Linked DNA regions of Drosophila melanogaster. The protein of the gene in region 3 interacts with the protein of the main gene of each other region in a pairwise test. Each region holds a gene or a part of one and is shown on either strand. Other genes may lie near its edges.

Region 1 (8,268 bases), on a different chromosome or scaffold from region 3:
GGGGTTTCGTTCGCTTATAGCCATTATAGACAGTATTTGAAGATTTGACTCACAAATTATGGCCAGCAGTTGTGGCTGAATTGATTAGCTGGCATTTGGCTGTGGCTAGCGGTCTTTTAGCCCCTCGATAAGGTCAAGTTCATTTCCGCATGGTGAGGCAGTAGTTAGTGAGCTACGTTCTCTGATCTCCGAAAAGCGACTACCCCAAAGTAACTGTTTCGGAGTTTCAGGCGGATTTCATGGATAGGGAAAGGGAAATTGCCCAAGAGGTCAGCCAAAGTGGCCATAAACAATTAGCCATTAGACGGGCCTTATGTGACGCACTTGGCAATCGCGGCAATTAGAGTTGTTACCAATCTCTCCGCGGGTCACTCAACACAAAATGTATCTCGAGCCTCGATTTTATCTGCCAGCGTGTGAACTGCCGGAAATTTCACTCTTGTGGATGGATGCATTTAATTCTTTCCGAACCTGATTTTTGACCAAGTTAATTGGGAGGGAATAAAAGGCGTACTTTGTACTTTGTCCGACTATAACTTGGCTTGGCTGAATTCAAAGACCCAAACAAGCAGTCGCTTCTAGAGTAAACAAATTTATGAATGACATAAAAAAGCGGATAAAAGCAGAAAATTATCTCGCTCTTGAAACTCCGAAATTAAACGTTAGTCCAATGATTTACTGCTTCACTTATAAGCGTGTTAATTGCCTAAATTTCCTTCACTGCTGAACTTGATTACTTGTTCTTTGGCGGCGGTCCACTCAATTGCCATAATATCAATCTCGCAGCCAGACTTCAAGTGTCAAGTGCAGTGTCTGGCTGCAATTAACCCTCTACTACCCCATGGTACCTCGCCTAAGGTCACATAAACCTTAAATTCAATTCCTATTTAATCGAGTGCAATTTAATATTTCCACAATTTTTGGTTCTAAGTACCAAGTATTTCAGCAAGGTCTCAGTGGGTTAATCTCCGTCAAAGAACCGAAATGCACGGCAGGCGTTGCAATCCACGGTCAACACGACAGGTTTCAGGTTTCCTTCTAAGCCCCTGAACAGCCAAATCGTTGGTTTTGACACAGATATAGCCATGTTATGGCCGTATTGGCCGGATCGGCGCTTGCATTTGGCATTTCGTTGGGCAAACACCACCAGATGACCTCGACTTTCAATCGCTGTGAGAATGTGTCTGGCATTCTTTGCGAATGTATCTTCAGACGATTCTCACACAGATCTTGATACGCACCTCGGAATCGAGAATTACACGCCGATAGGCATCGCGAGAAAAATCTACTAGCCGGCCATTACGAGTGAGATGCATTTTCCCCAACATTTATGCCTGCGAGCTTTACATCTGGGCAGGCTCACATCAATTAACCCGCAATTACAATAGAATTTAATCATGTGCCTGCCAGTTCACGTCGCACAGTTGGCCAAGTTGGCCAAAGGGGGGTTAAGCGATGGGGCTGGGCAAAAAGGGGCGTATTAATAACCGCGCTAAGTTCAAGAACATCGCTGATGGTTATTGTCATAGTTTCGTCGCGGCAATATGTAATTAAATCTGCGGATTGCAATCGATTATAAATACATTGTGAGGCATTTGCGGGTGGCGAAGGCTTTGTTTGTTGATTGAGTGAGTGATTTAATAAATTGTTCCGACTTTAGGAGCAATAATTTTCTTCTACGATAATTGAAGTTATAATTTGAAGGACAACGTATTCAAGTACTCCATGTACTTAACACCCTATAGAAAGGTGGCCCAAATCTAATAGTTTCATATCGGTTACTTAATTGTTTATTATACCATTTTAAGTTTAATGATTTGCTGACCCCATTTTATGATAGCTTCCTCGGAGGTTTTTATGGCTTTTTGAAAGGCAAAAACAGATCTCTGTTATTAACAGAGTGCGGTTCGAGTCCATGCTCCCCCCTGATTGCTAAGTATACACTGGGTTGGTTTTATGCTAAAAGCATTATCCAAGTCTTGCTCCATAAGTATCGTTAAATAAATTTAACAATAATTCAATCGCTGACTGGTCGCACTATTATATCGCTACGGTATATATTTGACGAAACAGACGGCGGCCACACTACAGACAAATAAAAAATTGAACCAATCGTTGCAATTGCACTTCAGTTTTCGTTCAGAAATAAATACGTAGCTGCAAATAGAGGACTATCTCCGCCGACATTTAAGAAGTACAGTTAAAACCGGGAAAATGGAGAGAGCAGGCCTCTTGGCCGTTTTGGCACTGTGCTGCGCCTTTGGTGAGTGGAGAAGAGATGGAGAGAAGTGCGAAAAGCGACGTTGAAAGGGAACCACAATAATAGTTTAGTCATAGCTTATTGCGTATTCGTGCTGTGCACTCTGTTCCTCAACCGTTGCTCTCTTTGTTTGTTTGCTTTCTTGCAGGCGTCTTCGCCGCTGCCACGCCCCTTTTGGGCTCCAGCAAGTGCACCTGGGGACCCTCCTACTGGTGCGGAAATTTCAGGTGAGTGCAAAAAAGTGGGTGATACAATAAACGGTATATTCGGATAAATCGCTTGGTCATCGAACACCACAAAGTTCTCGAAGGCGAAAAGCTAACCTCTCTTAACCCCCCTCCAAATAGCGATATTACTTCTCCGCCTCACTTGCCCATTGTTTGCAGCGAAGACTCGTCTGTTCTGTTTTGTTCTCGGCCGATAAGACTATCACTCGAATCGGGAATCGAATCACTTTGCTCTACATAGCTCTATTCGCCGATAACCCCTGTTATTGCAAACTTAACACTAGTGCCGCTCTAATTGCGTCCCCTTATTTTGCGTTGTATTGTTTTACAGACTCGATGTTTTCTCTGAGTGCACTTTTCGCAATACTCTCTGCCTTCATATCCCATATTTCTGGATTTCCTTTGTCTGCACATTCGCTGTACAAATCAAATTAACAGTACCGCCAGTCGGAACATTTAGACGGCAGAGTTAAGCGCTCGTAGGGGGCACAACTTTATCGACACCGATTATATGCATGAGTAATCCAGAGGAGCAGATCGTTTTGACACAGCTCCCTTTTCTGTGCACCGCCAAACAAACCACATGATTGCTTTGTTTATCATTGTTAATTCGCTGTAGGCGGCAACAGTTGTTCCTTATCAACGAATTCTGACTAATCCCTCAGGCGTATGATGAGTACAGGGGAACATCCGAAAGTGCAACTTCTAAGCCTTAACACAATCACAATGCACTTGAAACCCTTATCTTAGCCATACTCACAATTGTAAATTCCTCAATGGAGTGATATTACATTGCGGCCACAAAGGATCACCTTACAGAAGCTATACTGTACGTACATATGTATGTATGTTACACCAAGATAAACTTGAAAACATTTACATGGACTGCATCATTAATAGAGTAAAAGCGATCAATAGGCAACTGAAAACATTTGTTAAGCACCCATCCATCGCTTATCGCTAGTCGTAATTCCTTTGTTTATTGATTGATTTATTTTTAAATGGCCAGGAAAATCCGCCATTTCTGGCTCTTAACCGTTTCTTTGTTTCTCAATTGCAGAGTGTCAAAAATTAAAAACGTCGCCATTGCTGTTGAAAATTCAGAAAACAATATCTGTGAATGCGCAGCCAAGTGAATAATATATACGTGGATACGTCCAGATATATCATTCATACATATGTACTGTTTATTTCCGTGCTTATCAGTGCTGATTTTTTGCTATTTAGACGCTTTTGTTTGGTATTCCTGGCGATTCCACCGCAGGCGTCTCTTCATGTTAATGGAAATTAGCACTTTCCGTTCGAATCAGTCAAATCGATTTATATTGAACAAATATAGGGTTACTTTCCATCAAAGTGTTGTGCTTTAAATGCTATTTGCTTATATGAGATGATATGGGCTTTGATTTAGTCAGCATAAGTTTGATGATTATTAAACCATTTCGTTCCGTCTCGGATGTTCAAAAATCAAAATTATTACCAGTCCAATGCTTCGTTGTATTCATTGAAGACCCAACATTATCATGTGAGCTGTGGGTGCATTCTTAAAGTGGATAGGGGACTACTCCCTTTTTAGTGGACTCTGGTCTTTGCTGACTCGTCGATTCTGGCTTGGCCACTCGATTACGAATGCGGGTCATTTGATCCGAACAGCGGCATTTCGCACAATCAGCTTAGTATCCGACTGCTTACTCTGATGGGTTTATCTTAACAGCAAAAAAAAAGTTTGCTAACTTTATGTCTGCTTCCTTTCCAGCAACTCCAAGGAATGTCGTGCCACCCGCCACTGCATCCAAACCGTTTGGGAAACCCAAAAGGTGCCGGTGGACACGGACTCCATCTGCACGATATGCAAGGACATGGTTACTCAGGCCCGCGACCAGCTGAAGAGCAACCAGACAGAGGAGGAGCTGAAGGAGGTCTTCGAGGGCTCCTGCAAGCTGATTCCGATCAAGCCGATCCAGAAGGAGTGCATCAAGGTGGCCGATGACTTCCTGCCCGAGTTGGTCGAGGCCCTGGCCTCGCAGATGAATCCAGATGTGAGTTTTCACCTCTACAACACATCCTCCTAAACCTTTTATTGATATATAAAATGTTTCCCTTCAATCCTCAGCAAGTTTGCTCTGTGGCCGGACTTTGCAACAGTGCTCGCATCGACGAATTGTATAAGAACGGCATTCAGGCTGGTCTTGATGGAACCGTCCAGAATGAAGATGACAGCTCCGAGGAGACCGAGTTGGCCATGCAGCCTAACCAACTTTCCTGCGGCAACTGCAACCTGCTTTCCCGCCTGATGCACTCGAAATTTGCGGCTACCGATCGCGATGACATGGTGGAAACGATGCTTCATATGTGCGGATCGCTATCTAGTTTCTCAGACGCCTGTGCCAACATTGTGCTCACCTATTTTAATGATATCTACGACCATGTGAGCAAGCACTTGACCACGGATGCCGTGTGCCATGTGTCCGGAGTGTGTGCCTCCAGATATCACCAGCATGAAGAGGAAAAGCAACCGCAAGAAGCCTTAGTTGCCTTGGATGCCGGCGATGATATTCCATGCGAACTATGCGAGCAACTAGTAAAGCACCTTCGCGACGTCTTGGTGGCCAACACCACTGAAACGGAGTTCAAGCAAGTTATGGAAGGATTCTGCAAGCAGTCAAAGGGATTCAAGGACGAGTGCCTTAGCATTGTTGACCAATACTACCATGTGATTTACGAGACTCTGGTCAGCAAGTTAGATGCCAATGGAGCCTGCTGCATGATCGGCATTTGCCAGAAGAACTCCGCCTCCTCGATGAAGGATGTCCCAATCATGCCGCTGCTGCCTGTTATTGAGCCGGCTCAGGTAAAGATCACCATCGAGAAGCTGGAGAAGCACGAGAAGAAGCAACTGGGCGCCAGTGAGCCGAAGTTCAGCCAGCAAGAGATCCTGGACATGCAGCTGCCCATTGATCACCTAATGGGTGCAGCTAATCCCGGAGCTTTGGTCGAGGGTGGAGAGCTGTGCACCCTGTGTGAGTACATGCTGCATTTCATTCAGGAGACTCTGGCTACCCCCTCCACGGATGACGAGATCAAGCACACCGTGGAGAACATCTGCGCCAAACTGCCCTCGGGAGTTGCCGGTCAATGCCGCAACTTCGTGGAGATGTATGGCGATGCTGTGATAGCTCTGCTCGTCCAAGGACTGAATCCTCGTGACGTGTGCCCCCTCATGCAGATGTGCCCGAAGAATCTGCCCAAGAAGGAAGATGTCGAAGTGTTCAATCCCCAGCCAGCCAGCGATGAGCAGGATCCCCCAACTTGCCCTCTGTGCCTCTTTGCCGTTGAGCAGGCCCAGATGAAGATCCGCGACAACAAGTCCAAGGATAATATCAAAAAGGTTCTGAATGGCCTTTGCAGCCATCTGCCCAACGAGATAAAGGAAGAATGCGTAGACTTCGTGAACACCTATTCCAATGAGCTGATCGACATGCTGATCACAGATTTTAAGCCGCAGGAGATCTGCGTCCAACTGAAGCTCTGCCCAAAGACCACTTACGCTCTCTGGGACTTGCGCATCTCGCTGGAGGACGATGTCGATGGTGAGGACAAATCCAGCAGTGAGGAAATCAGCTTCAATGACATTGAGTCCCTTGAGGAGCTGCCCCCTCAGCTGGCCTTCGACCCAGGATTCACCGCTGCTCCGAACTGCCTGATCTGCGAGGAGTTGGTTAAGACCTTGGAGAAGCGTATGGGCAAGCACCCCACCAGAGACAGCATCAAGCATATCCTGGAGGAGTCTTGCGACCGAATGAGGAAGCCAATGAACACTAAATGCCACAAGGTTATCGACAAGTACGGCGATAAGATCGCCGATCTGCTGTTAAAGGAAATGGATCCCAAGCTTATCTGCACGGAGTTGGGAATGTGCATCCTGGCTGATCTGGATGATCGTGAGTATTAAATTCTAGAGCTACGTTAAGTATACGTTTAAACTAATGAATTTCATTTTCGTAATACAGTCGAAGTGGATGAGGCTTTGAAGTACGACGTGATTGCTCTGCCGCGCCAGGACAACAAGCTGTCTAGCAGCATCAAGGAGCCGCCCACCTGCGTCCTTTGCGAATTTATCATGACCAAGTTGGATGCCGATCTAAAGAATAAGACCGAACAGGACGACATTAAGCGAGCGATTGAAGCCGTGTGCAATCGCCTGCCAGCCACGGTGCGCAAACAGTGCGACACCTTCGTCGATGGATATGCCTCTGCGGTCCTGAAATTGCTGAGCGATGTGCCGCCCAAGCAGGTGTGCCAGAAACTGCAGCTCTGCTTCAGCGTGGCCGTCACCGATGAAGTTTTGGAGTGTGGTGTGTGCCATGGAGTCACCCAGGCTCTGTTGCCCTTCCTGCGCGAGAAGAAAGATAACGTATCCGAAGTGACAGCCCTACAGATGACATCGGTGGGATGCGAGAACTTGCCAGCCAAGTACTACAAGATCGTATGTAACTTACAATCCTGAATGTTATAAATATCTATAAGTTCCTTTGCGTTGCAGTGCTCTGAGATGATCTCCATCTATGGCAGTAGCATTAAGAACTTGGCCAAACGACCCTATATTGATCAGTCGCATATTTGCGCCGAGATTGGCAAGTGTTTCGAAAGCGAGAAGTCTTCGCTGGCCTTTGCTAGAATTTCAGGTAAGCTATAGGTTGAAGGACCCAAACAATACATTTACTAATTTACTATCTTCAACAGCCTAAGTGATGCGTTGTGATGTACGAACCAGGCGCGGAGGATTTGAAGGAGAAGGGACCCGATCCCACGCTTTATATATGCATATACCTTTACATATATCTGTTTACATTCTATAACGATTTACTGTAAATGAAACATAATTACTTACTTTTCGTTTTGTACCCCGGTTTTTGGCTCTAAATTTGTTAGGTGAATTTGTGATGAAACTGAATTTATAAACGCACTCAAACGCCGGCTGAAAAAAGTTAAACTTAACTAAACTAACACTTACACTAAGCAGTACCCTTATCGTAATTTCAACATAAAAATTAGCGAAATTCACGAGCCGCAAACTTTGTATCGATATCCCCATGTGTCCGAAGTCATTTGAGCAGTGTGTGTAGTTTAAGATATCAAGCAAAACTGTGTAAAATACGAACATTGATCTTATAAATCATACAGAAAACTTAAACCGACATAGTAGCACATTATTGAAAATTCCCAATTCCCCTTGGAATAGTATATATTTTCTAGCCGACATGTTTGAGAACTCCCTGTTTATCATTAAGCCGGACTATCTGCACAAGCGGCGTCCGGTGCTCTTAAAGTTGCTGGCCGAGGGCTTCCAGATTCAGGGTAATCGACGGATTGCCTTTTCGCCAGAAACTGCCGCCGAGTTCTATGCCGATTATGCCGATGAAAAGGGGTTTATGCTGGAGGTCATTCTGCTTTCGAAGGGTGTTTCCGAGGCGTTCATAGTTACGAAGGAAAACGCCGTGCAGGAGCTGCTCAACATCATGATTTGTTATTTGTGAGTTTGCTTTTAAAATAAAATAATAAGTTCTCTAGGTACAATTTGACTTTAAGTGGTTCGGCATCGGATCTGGAACGCAATATCCATGTCACCAAGAACAGTTACAGCGTGGCTCGTGAGATAAACTTTATTTTTCCCAACTGTAAGTAGCGATACAGAGATTAATAAAGTAAAAAATAATATATCGAATTTTTCAGATATTCACGAGCCCCATCAAATGTTCGACCACAACAACTTCTGCAACA
Region 2 (5,879 bases), about 15 Mb from region 3:
AGGCTCAGTGCACTCCGGAGCAGTATGAAGAATTCGGCAAGCGGGTGGAACTCTTCGAGATTTGCGGCACCTATGCCCAAACGGAACTGGGTCATGGAACCTACCTGCGCGGGCTGGAAACGCGTGCTGATTTTGATCGAAAGACTGATCAATTTGTACTCAACACCCCCAATATTTCCTCCTACAAGTGGTGGCCCGGAGGCTGTAAGTTCTGGCATGGTGATCCAATCGGTTTTCAGATATTAAAGTTTAACTATAAATTTTCAGTGGGCCACAGCTCCAATCACTGCCTGGTTATGGCTCAGCTGTACATCGACGGCGACTGCAAGGGTCCGCACATGTTCTTTATTCAGGTGCGTGATGAAGACACCCACGAACCACTGCCCGGCGTCCACATCGGTGATATTGGCAAGAAAATGGGCTTCATTGGCGTAAACAATGGTTTCCTTGGATTAAAGAACGTACGGATTCCTCGTACGAGAATGCTGATGCGACATGCTCAGGTGAAGGCTGATGGATCCTATGTTAGTAGTCCCACCAATGTGCTTACCTACTTTGCCATGGTCCGCACGCGTTGTGTAATTGCCAAAAACAATGCCGTGATGTTGGCTTCTGCTGCCACCATTGCAACCAGATACTCGGCTGTGCGCCGTCAGAGCCCAATTAATCCCAAGTAAGTTGTTAACAACGTAGATACATTTATTCGAATTCAATTGTCCCTTGTTTATTTTCAGCGAACGAGAGCCTCAGATCATGGATCATGTTACACAACAAATGAAACTCTTCCCAGAGATTGCCACAAGCGTGGCATACCGAAAGGCCGGTGATTACTTGTGGAATCTGTACGATGTGACCATCGAGGATATAGAAAACGGAAAATACGAACGTCTGCCGGAGTTGCATTCTCTGTCCTGCGCTTTGAAAGTTACCTGCTCCATGGACTCCGCTTCTGGTGTAGAGAAATTGCGACTGGCCTGTGGTGGTCATGGATTCCTCACCTCATCCAACATGAGCAGTATATACGTTAGTGCCACCGCAGCTTGCACGTATGAGGGTGAGAACACCGTACTGCTTCTGCAGATCGGTCGCTTTTTAATGAAGACGTGGCGAGCCGCGTTGACTGGAGCTCCGTTGCCGCCCACCGTTCGCTATTTGGCCGAGGTGCAAAAGAATCCGGAGTTTGGCACCTGGACTGGAAGTTGGGAGAACATGGTTAAGGCCATGCAGTATGCAGCTGCCAATAGAACACAGTTGGCATTCAGGAGCCTTTCCAAACGTATGTCAAGGGGCGAAACTGAAGCGAACGCAGCTAATCACACGGGCATTGAGTTCACCCAGGCGGCAGAGGTTAGTGTGCTAAAGTGACTTGGACTGTGCCCTACCGATTTCTGAAAAACTCTAAATTTTTTCTTGCCCATAGCTCCACGGACGTGCTTTTGTTTTCAGTGCTTTCTATGAAGCAGTCACCGGTCCTCAATCTAAGACGCGCTCAGCTAACTTCAATCGAGTCCTGGAGAACCTGTTGGAGCTGTACCTAGTCAAGGAGACACTTAATCAAATGGGTCACCTGCTGAGAGTGGGTTTCAATTATTTAGCCTAGAATGTGTTGAATGTTAACTTAATATATTCTTATTCCACAGTTCATTAACTTGACCGATACGGATCTCTCCGGGCTGCAGGATCGCTTGGAAACAGTGCTCACCAAACTGCGACCAGATGCTGTGGCCATTGTGGATGGCTTTGACTTCAGCGATCTGCAGCTGAACTCCACTCTGGGCTCTTACGATGGCAATGCCTACGAGCGTATCTTCGATGCGGCCCTCAAGAATCCGATGAACCAAAAAGCAGTGCCTAAGTACTTCCATGAGATCCTGAGGCCGTTCATGAAGTCAAACATCTAGTGCCTTGGACAGCTGTTTATTAAACCACCTATCTAGAGTTAGGCTCAATGTAATGTATTGTAAATACCCCATATGTATTGGTGTTTTGTATTATTTTTGTAAATAATACTCTTTAATAATATAGACCCAACATATACCGCTCTTTAAATGAATTCTTTGCCAAGCCATGAACATCTGCTGCTTTGTCGATCAGCTTTCTCTCTTGAAAAGCTGTCTTGTGCACTTTGCCCCCCCAAAAGCTTTTCATTCTCGCCGATCCATCCACTTTCGCTCAGTAGTCGCGTGGAGCTCACAGCTGTTGATTGGATCTAGTGGTGGATCATAGTTTAGTTGTTAACAATTCCGTATTTTTATTTTGCACACAACAATGTCGCATATTAAAAACCTAATACCGAGCACAGTGAATCCAGATCTTCAAAAGGAACGTGCTGCAGCTGAATTCCATGTGGAGGAATTCTCCGCCTGGTGGCACGGTGGTCAAGACAAACTGAAGAAGAAGCGCGAAATCGGTAATTGTTAAAGATAAAAATCATTAGCGTCACGCCGGTGTTCGTGATATGGCACAGGTTTTGTTCAATTAAAGCTTCTTTGCCATCAAAAAAATCGGGGTCCAAACAGTTCATCAAATGGCCCGAAGTCCAATTATTGTTATACATTGTTGAGCAGCCGAATTAAAACCTTTATTGCTTTATCAATAATAAAAGATCGTGATAGCACTTGTGATATCTACGATTCCCTGCAATTGCAAATAAGCTAATTTTCTTATCAGCTTAAAGGGCTGCTCTACACCCCCAGGTGATAACGAAGGGCACAGTCACACTTTATAAATCGAACCATTATCTTTACGACTGATTCTATCTTTTATTGCTACCACTTATTCTGTTCATAATTGAAAGTTGTATAAGAAGTGTAATTTCTAATCGACAGAGAAAGCGATCTTCAGCGATCTTGAGGATGGCTATGGCCTCAACCATGAGTACATGTCCCACGAGGAGGTCTACAATTCCACGGTGAAGAAGGTGGCTGAGGCAGCTGTTAAGCTCAAGGCTCTGCAGAACAAGCTTAATCCTGGAGGAACTGACATCTGGCCGTAAGTTAAACACGCAAGTGTGTAAAAGGTTTCTTCAATCTTATTTCCGCTCGATTTGCAGTGGAGGACTATTCAATGCACAGAGCTTTGGACTTTTTCCGGCTAATCATCCGATTGCCACCCACATCACCATGTTCGTGGATGTGATCAAAGGTCAGGGCACTGCCGAACAGGTGGAGAAGTGGGGCAAGGCGGCGGAGAACTGCAACATTATCGGCACCTACGCCCAAACGGAGCTGGCCCATGGCACCAATGTCCGTGGCTTGGCCACTCGGGCTGACTTTGATCCCAAAACGGATGAGTTTGTGCTAAATACACCGAACTTGGAGGCCTACAAATGGTGGCCCGGCGGCTGTAAGTAGTTTAATTATAGTTGTAGTCCAAATATGCATTTAATCCATCCTTATCATCTCTAGTGGGACACACGGCCAATCATGCAATGGTAGTAGCCCAACTATATATCGCCGATGTTCATCATGGCGTGCAAATGTTTATTGTGCCGTTAAGAGATTCCGAAACTCACATGCCACTGCCGGGTGTTGATATCGGTGAGATTGGCAAGAAGCTCGGCATGGCATCCGTGAACCAGGGCTTCCTGGGACTGAACCACGTTCGAATTCCGCGCACCAACATGCTGATGAAGTTCGCCAAGGTGGAGCGGGATGGCACCTTCAAGGCCAGCCCGGCATCGAGGATTAACTACCTGACCATGGTGTACACGCGCTGCTTGATCGTTAGCCAGAACTCCACGTTGCTCCTGGCGGCGGCAACCATAGCCACGAGATACTCGGCAGTGCGGCGTCAGAGTCCCATTGAGCCCAAGTAAGTTGCGATGGTGTTTGCAGGAATAAAAACTTAATGTCTATGTACCGACAGTCAACCCGAGCCCCAGATCATAGATCATGTGACCCAGCGCCTGAAGCTCTTCCCTGAGATCGCTACGGGAATCGCCTACCATCTGGCCACCGAGTACATGTGGGAAATGTATGCCCAGACGGTGCAGGAAGCCAACAACGGCAAGTTCGAGCGACTGCCCGACATGCACATCCTGTCCTGCGCGCTCAAGGTCCTTTGCACCACTGACGGCTGTGCTGGCATTGAAAAACTTCGTCTGTCCACTGGAGGACATGGTTACCTCATCGCCGCCAACTTGAGCAACATCTATGGCAATGCTGTGGCTGCGTACACCTACGAAGGCGAGAACACGGTGCTGCTTCTGCAAATTGGACGAGCTTTAGTTAAGGCATGGGCTTCGTTCGTGGACAAGAAACCATTATCGGCATCCTACAGCTACTTTGCCAGCTCCATGCAGCTGAAGGAGTTCCCCAAATGGGACGACTCCTGGCAGTGCATCATCAAGGCTTTGCAATACACGGCTGCACAGTGAGTTTGACTTAAATGCATCTTTTTAACTTAGTGCTTACATGATTAATTTGCAGCAAGACCCGCATTGCTTTCGAGAATCTAGCGAATCGCATGGCCAGCGGTCAGTCTCAAGGTGTGGCGGCCAATAACACGGGAATCGAACTGACTCGTGCAGCTGAGGTAAGTAATATAAACAAAGTTAGAGATGACCACGTAGATGACTATATTTGACAATTATGCAAACATATTTCAGCTGCATGGCCGGCAGTTTGTGTGCCAAACATTCCTGGAGCAGATCACTGGTGCCAAGGCCCAGAAGCGATCCCCCGCACTGAACAAGATATTGGAGAACGTGCTGGAACTATTTCTGGTCCAAACGGTGCTTAATAACCTTAATGACATTTTAAGAGTGAGTTTTCCTCTCATTTCCATTTACTGCATTGTTAATTATGCCATTTTGCTTGCCAGTTCATTAAACTAAGCGATGCGGATCTGCGATCGCTGCAAAAACGCTTGGAGGATTCACTGGCGCAGTTCCGACCCAATGCGGTGGCCATATGCGATGGATTCGAGTTCCACGACCGTGTGCTAAACTCCGTGCTGGGCAGCTACGATGGCAATGTGTATCCCAGGCTCTTCGATTCGGCCAAACGCAGCACCATGAACCAGAAGCCCGTCCAAACATCATTTGAGACCTACCTGAAGCCCCTGATGAAGGCTAAGCTGTAAAGCAAACACGACCGACCCGAGTCATGTGTATAGAGAGTTATATTGAAGTAGAGAAACTACATGTTTTGTTTAAATTAGTTTTATACCAGTTTTATTTAGCAAATCAAAACCAATTTCTCAGTACATTCAGCGCATTTTTAAAAAAAACTAACAAACTAAACGCTTACAAAGTAGCAAAAAAAGTTGATGTAAAATTTGACAAAACGTACTATGGGTCGAGAGTTGAACAAACATAGTACTTGTACATATCAAAAACGATGCGGTTGCGTTTTTTACAGTGTAGAAAAAGTTGTGTTCAGAAAAATGTTTTAGTTCCTGTTGCAGTTGCTGTTGCTCATGTTTTCTTGTTTGCTTGTGTGTGTGTGTGTGTGTGTGTGTGTGAGAAGTGTGTGCATGTTTTTGTGTGTAAGTTGCAGTTTTGATTCCGGAAAAGGGGGAAAATAGTTTTCACTTCTCTGATGATGTTCGAAAGTTCCCTTTGTTATATGCTCTGCTGTCAAAGTAGTAGTAGGTTTAATTCATTATTTATGCATTATACACAGTTACACACACAATTGATTTATGTTGCTAATTATATACTTATATGTTATATATTAGTTTTCGTTTTTCGTAACTTCTTTTCGCAATGAAAATATGGCATGAGAGTTGGAGAGAGAATATTGGTTGACTAACAATTAAACAAGTATTGCAGCTAATTGATTGGTATGAGGGTGTGGGTGAGTATAACATTTGTTGCTGGACTGTTTTGTTTTAGTTTAATTTGAAATCGCCTTGTAAACTTAACAATTAATTTT
Region 3 (5,225 bases):
TCTCTTCAGTTCGTGCTCCCAAACGGGTTTTTCTCTCGCCTGCCTTCGGTGTTCTCATTGATTTCACTCTTTACATCCATAATGCGTTTTCTTTCACTGGCTTTTTAAAGTCAAACTGCCGGATAACTCACCACATGGCACCAAACGATAATCCATACTCAGTAATTTTGCTTACAGTAAACCTAGTCTGCAAAGCGTACGTAATAGACTGGCCTGACTTCAGGTCCACACGATTTACTGCGACCTTATCAGCCAAAGCTCAGCTTGAGCTTGTTATTGTCTTCGACAATAATGGGATTTTTTCCGTTCCCTGATAACAGAGGAAAGCTGAAACTGAAATCATTCCCTACCTAAATTTGTTTATTATATTTTGCCAAAAATTCTAGGGAGAAGTCAATAGAATGAGTCAATAGAATCGAATAACACCCTTTATATACCTTCAAAGGCAGATTTATGTTATAATAATAAATAATAATAATAATAATAAATAATAGATAATTCCTACACGTTTAATGTGTCAAATGTTTAATAAGTAACTTAAGTGGAAGTACAATTTATTTCTCAACTATTTCCCACGCCAAAGATATACATATTTATTTTTCCTTTAGGTACATGTGTTACATTTTTCAGACTGCTCAACCTTGGTTGTGATAAAATGACCGGCAAATAGAAGGCCATGGGTGTTGTCCTTTATAGCATAGAAGAAAGGTCTATTAGCGTGGAATACCTTTGGAGGTCCTTGGCGCGCAGGCATGCTTCTAAATGTGGCAACCGCAGCTGAACAAGAAGTTTAAATTAGTTAATGCGAATATATACATATTTGAGTGAAATTTTTAATATTGGACTTGCTTAGCACCTCGTATGACATTCGTAAGAATATCCGGAGTACTAGATATAAGAGGCTTTCAAATTGCCAAAAGTTTTGGAACCTTTTTTTTTTGCAGGCTCACCCGTTGCGGCTGCAGCTTCAGTGCCCACTTCGTTAATCTCGATAAATGCTTTGTGGACGATCTGGGAGACAAAAAGGCTTTCCTCGGATTGTAGCATTCCCCCAAGCTCTGCCTGACCACTGAATATTCGGTTCATGCCCATCTGTGAGTAGCCAGGTTGCGTATAATCAAATTTCAATAACAAATCCATTTCAGCTAACCAGCATTAAAACCTGGGATAGTTCTTGCTGGAACTCGGCTGTAAAGCTAGGAATCTTCACATCCACTTTTTCCAGATTCATTGCTGATGACACTACCTCTAGGGAAATATCACTAAGTTTCTTTTCGAGGCTCGTGAGATTCGACTTCTCATCAGGAAGTAAAATGATCATGGCCAAATTACAGGCACTATAATTCATTCTAAGGGCAGTGGCTTCGAACATGGGAAGTACGGCAAAAAAGAAGTTCTCGCACACATGCATCATTCTCACTCTGGTAGGTCTATCCGATCCGAAGAAATCCTCTTCGCGGGTTTCTTTTTCATTGAAACTGATTGACCACTCACCCTTGAAGTGAATACCGTTTACTAGGCACAGCCGCGAGTCCTTGGTAAGAACTCTTGGACCGATTATGTCCTTGATCAGGTTGTTGGTCTGTGACTCCACCCATTTGTTGATTATGCTGGCAGCCTGCTCGCTGCCAAAGTCAATCTCCATTGGCTTGGAGCGAAACTTCTGCTCTAGTATGTGACCAAACTGCTCGTCAACTTGGAGACCCTTCATAACATATAGGCCGTTTGCCATTTTAAGAACCTGGCACTGTTCATAGGACTTGAGGACGACACCAAAGCTTTCAGCTACTTGCTGAGCTTCTAGCCCACCGAAACGGAGCCCCTCGTCCATCTCCTTAGCTGTAGCCGATCCCTCGGATGTTCCCATCCGCAGCATGGCCGCAGAGATGTGGATGGATAATGGGGAGTAGATGATGTTTAGGCCAGCACTTGCCCGGCACAAATGGTCGTGCAGACAAAGAGCGAATTGTTCCAAGCCCTGTGCGAACTCCTCATCTTTCATGATGAAGAAAGCAGACGATCTCAGGTTAAATATGTTAAATATGCGTCTACGATAGAAGAATCAGTGAGTACTCATTTTTCGAAAGAGATTCAGATTGACTTATCAGCAGTTTGAGCAAATATTTTAATAAGAAGCTAGATGAGCTATCAACACCATTCCAATTTCGGGTACGCCAGGAACTTCTCTCCGTCGAGAGCGCTTGCCACTTCAGACTCTCTTGGAATTTATCTAATCGAGTTGCAGTTCGTTCAGTTCTGACTTACTGCGATTCGCGGCGTTAGTCAATTCCGCGCAGTTTGACGGAAACCACGCTCATTCTCCGGCTGCCTTCCGATTGTATCCGTGAGATTGTTTTTTCCGGTGTAAGTTATCAGCGCACCCATAGGGTCAGCGACGCCCTCACCTGTTTCGCCGATCCAAAATAGCTTATCAGTGCACGTAGAGAAATTTATTGTTTCATGTCCACATTGATCGATGATTTGTAAATTAAAGAAATTCCGAAACTTACTTAGTAGGCTAAGTTACGGTAATCTAAATATGCAGTAATCCCCTCTATGCAGTAGAGGGTATTGTTAAATTTTAAATATCTGAAAACATCAACAACCTTATCAGGTGACGTGTGTTATTTTATCTTTGAATTACTATCGCGTCGTTTGCTATAAGGCAATTTGTTATGACGAAAGCAAGTTCTAGTTGACTTCACTTTACTTTCTACATCGGTTCTATTAAAAATATAATAGGGAATTATTATTATTATTTTAAAATAAATAGTAGCACCTAGTAGCAGTTGTAAGCTAATACGTCATTCTGGGATTTCGGATTTATTTTTAATTAGCATAGGCAATTTTGAAAATGTTTTATTTTATTAAAGATTGAATCCGAATTCGAAATTGTTCTGGATTGATCAAGTTGGCGCTTAACAGCTGGCGATAATGCCAAATGAGATAATGAGATTTGGCCCGAAAATGTCTTATTTTTGTATACTTATGTTACATTTAAGTATTTAAAAATATAAATTAAAACATATATTTTTTTGCCCAGATCGAGATGAGCGAACCCCAAGAAGGCAGAAATCAGTTTGCGCGAAATCTGATAGATGTCATTACCAAAGATGCCCTGCAACAGAGCAAAGACCCCCACATAAATACGGTTTTCTCTCCAGCATCCGTCCAAAGTGCATTGACCTTGGCATTTATGGGGGCTTCCGGATCTACAGCAGAGGAGCTAAGGAATGGGCTTCAGCTAGGACCAGGAGATCGCCATCACATAGCCCTAAACTTCGGAGAGTTCTGGCGCACGAGCTGTAACTACGGCGACAGGGGACCCGTGTTGAAGTCCGTGAACCGATTGTACGTCAACGATTCCTTGGAACTGCTTACCGAGTTCAACGAGATCGCCGTGGACTTCTTCCAGTCGAAGGCCGAGGCGACGAGGTTCGCCGATTCGGAGGGAGCTACGCAGCTGATCAACGACTGGGTGGAACAGGAGACGGAGCATAAGATCACCAACCTGCTTCAATCGGATGCCGTGAACAACGAAACGAGCGCCCTGCTCATCAATGTCTTGTACTTTAAGGGAAAGTGGCAGAAACCATTTATGCCAGAGACCACATCGATTGACCATTTCCACGTGGACCGGGACACTCACGTGCAGGTGAATATGATGTACCAAGAGGACAAGTTCCGGTTCGCAGAACTGCCACAGCTGAAGGCTCGAGCTGTGCAACTGCCCTATGATTACTCAAACATTCACATGCTAATTCTGCTGCCCAACGAAGTAAACGGTCTGCAGGAGTTAGAGCAGCAACTCAACACCGTGGATCTAGCCGATATTGACGCAGCGCTGACCTTGCAGGATGTCGAGATCTTTCTGCCCAGGATGTGCATAGAGTACGACGTGGACCTCAAGCAGGTACTTAATCAGGTAAGATACATTTAACCGATAATAGTGGCTTTGTTTTAATAACAATGTAATATCTGATATTTATTCTCAGCTGGGTATTACGGAAGTCTTCAGCGATAAGGCCAAGCTAGACGGGCTCTTTACCTCGCAAAGTGGCCAAAAAATCTCGGCAGCAAGGCACCGCGGCTACATCGACGTAAATGAGGCAGGATCGGAGGCAGCAGCAGTCAGTTGTAAGTGAAATCAGCTGCTTGCAACTCAAACTTGCTCGTACTAATCTCAACTCTGATTCCCACACTCAGTCATGAAGATAGTACCCATGATGCTCAACATGAACAAGAAGCTCTTCAAGGCGGATCACCCGTTCGTCTTTTACATACGAAACCCGCAGGCCGTCTTCTTCGCCGGCCGATTCTCGAACCCCAAGTCTGGATCTGGATCAGGAGAGGAGGGCTTGTCACGGGAAGGTTTCGATGCCAACATGTACAATGTCTAAGAACAGCAGTGAGACCGAATAGAACTCAGCTATGAAATCCCACTAGACGTCATTGGATTTCAATCCGAGAGAGCTGTGTGCGCAGTTCTCAGTAACGTAATGAAGTATCGCCAGTAGGTACATATATGTCCAGTGCATATATGAGCTCGTCTTGGCACTCGGCGCTCAGTTTACAGAGATACTTATCTCGGGGAAGAGTTCGTTGTAGACGGTCAAATGTATTACTTGTGTAAGTGGCGATCGCTTATAGCCAGTGAATTAAAATACAAAGCAATAAATTACCTATAATAACTTATGATTTAAATTAAATTCATAGAAAATAATAAAACAATATGGTGAAGACGTTTGCTATGGCATTAACTTTTAACTTACAAAGACTATCCGCTTTCGTTGAATTCGATTTGCTTTAGTCTGTAAAAGTAAAAAATATCAAGTTTAATATGCATGAACAGAATTTCCGAACGCTGAAAACGAATTGATAATTAACATCCCCAAACTAGGCATTTTCCTGTGGGTCACTTCAGTGGCATGTCAGACCTCCAAAGAGATCTACCAACTACTTTCCAAGAGCCATACAAACCAGAACCTCGTCGTCTCGCCCGTCTCCATAGAGACCATCCTTAGCATGGTCTTCATGGGCGCAGAAGGCTCGACGGCCAAGGAGCTGCAGAGCGCCTTAGGTTTACCATCGGAGGACAAAGAGGCGGTGGCAGCCAGGTACGGTGCTCTCCTCAACGATCTTCAGGGACAGGAGGAGGGACCCATACTAAAGCTCGCGAATCGCATCTACGTCAACGACCAGTACAGCCTGAATCAGAACTACAA

The links.
Region 1: the proteins of Spn42Dc (region 3) and Sap-r interact in a two-hybrid assay, tested with the Drosophila melanogaster proteins (one large-scale study listed by BioGRID).
Region 2: the proteins of Spn42Dc (region 3) and Acox57D-d interact in a two-hybrid assay, tested with the Drosophila melanogaster proteins (one large-scale study listed by BioGRID).

The regions. Positions count from the first base shown.
Region 1 is NT_033777.3:30,882,880-30,891,147, reverse strand, and holds Sap-r (Saposin-related), read left to right. Parts: upstream 1-2,085; 5' UTR 2,086-2,214; coding exon 2,215-2,263; intron 2,264-2,321; exon of another isoform or gene 2,322-2,408; coding exon 2,409-2,487; intron 2,488-4,243; coding exon 4,244-4,526; intron 4,527-4,600; coding exon 4,601-6,428; intron 6,429-6,497; coding exon 6,498-6,973; intron 6,974-7,030; coding exon 7,031-7,172; intron 7,173-7,230; coding exon 7,231-7,235; 3' UTR 7,236-7,684; downstream 7,685-8,268. Other genes in the region: CG15547 (uncharacterized protein), read left to right, coding at 7,749-8,020, 8,077-8,165, 8,221-8,268.
Region 2 is NT_033778.4:21,387,231-21,393,109, forward strand, and holds Acox57D-d (acyl-Coenzyme A oxidase at 57D distal), read left to right. Parts: upstream 1-2,174; 5' UTR 2,175-2,268; coding exon 2,269-2,410; intron 2,411-2,828; coding exon 2,829-2,991; intron 2,992-3,052; coding exon 3,053-3,345; intron 3,346-3,407; coding exon 3,408-3,813; intron 3,814-3,867; coding exon 3,868-4,374; intron 4,375-4,430; coding exon 4,431-4,536; intron 4,537-4,609; coding exon 4,610-4,765; intron 4,766-4,824; coding exon 4,825-5,085; 3' UTR 5,086-5,209; downstream 5,210-5,879. Other genes in the region: Acox57D-p (acyl-Coenzyme A oxidase at 57D proximal), read left to right, coding at 1-204, 268-673, 735-1,347, 1,421-1,576, 1,641-1,901.
Region 3 is NT_033778.4:6,878,714-6,883,938, forward strand, and holds Spn42Dc (serpin 42Dc), read left to right. Parts: upstream 1-2,281; 5' UTR 2,282-2,364; intron 2,365-2,934; exon of another isoform or gene 2,935-3,043; 5' UTR 3,044-3,049; coding exon 3,050-3,925; intron 3,926-3,995; coding exon 3,996-4,137; intron 4,138-4,206; coding exon 4,207-4,400; 3' UTR 4,401-4,616; coding exon of another isoform or gene 4,617-4,629; 3' UTR 4,630-4,694; downstream 4,695-5,225. Other genes in the region: Spn42Da (serpin 42Da), read right to left, coding at 132-156; Spn42Db (serpin 42Db), read right to left, coding at 605-777, 951-1,092, 1,151-2,002; Spn42Dd (serpin 42Dd), read left to right, coding at 4,617-4,629, 4,901-5,225.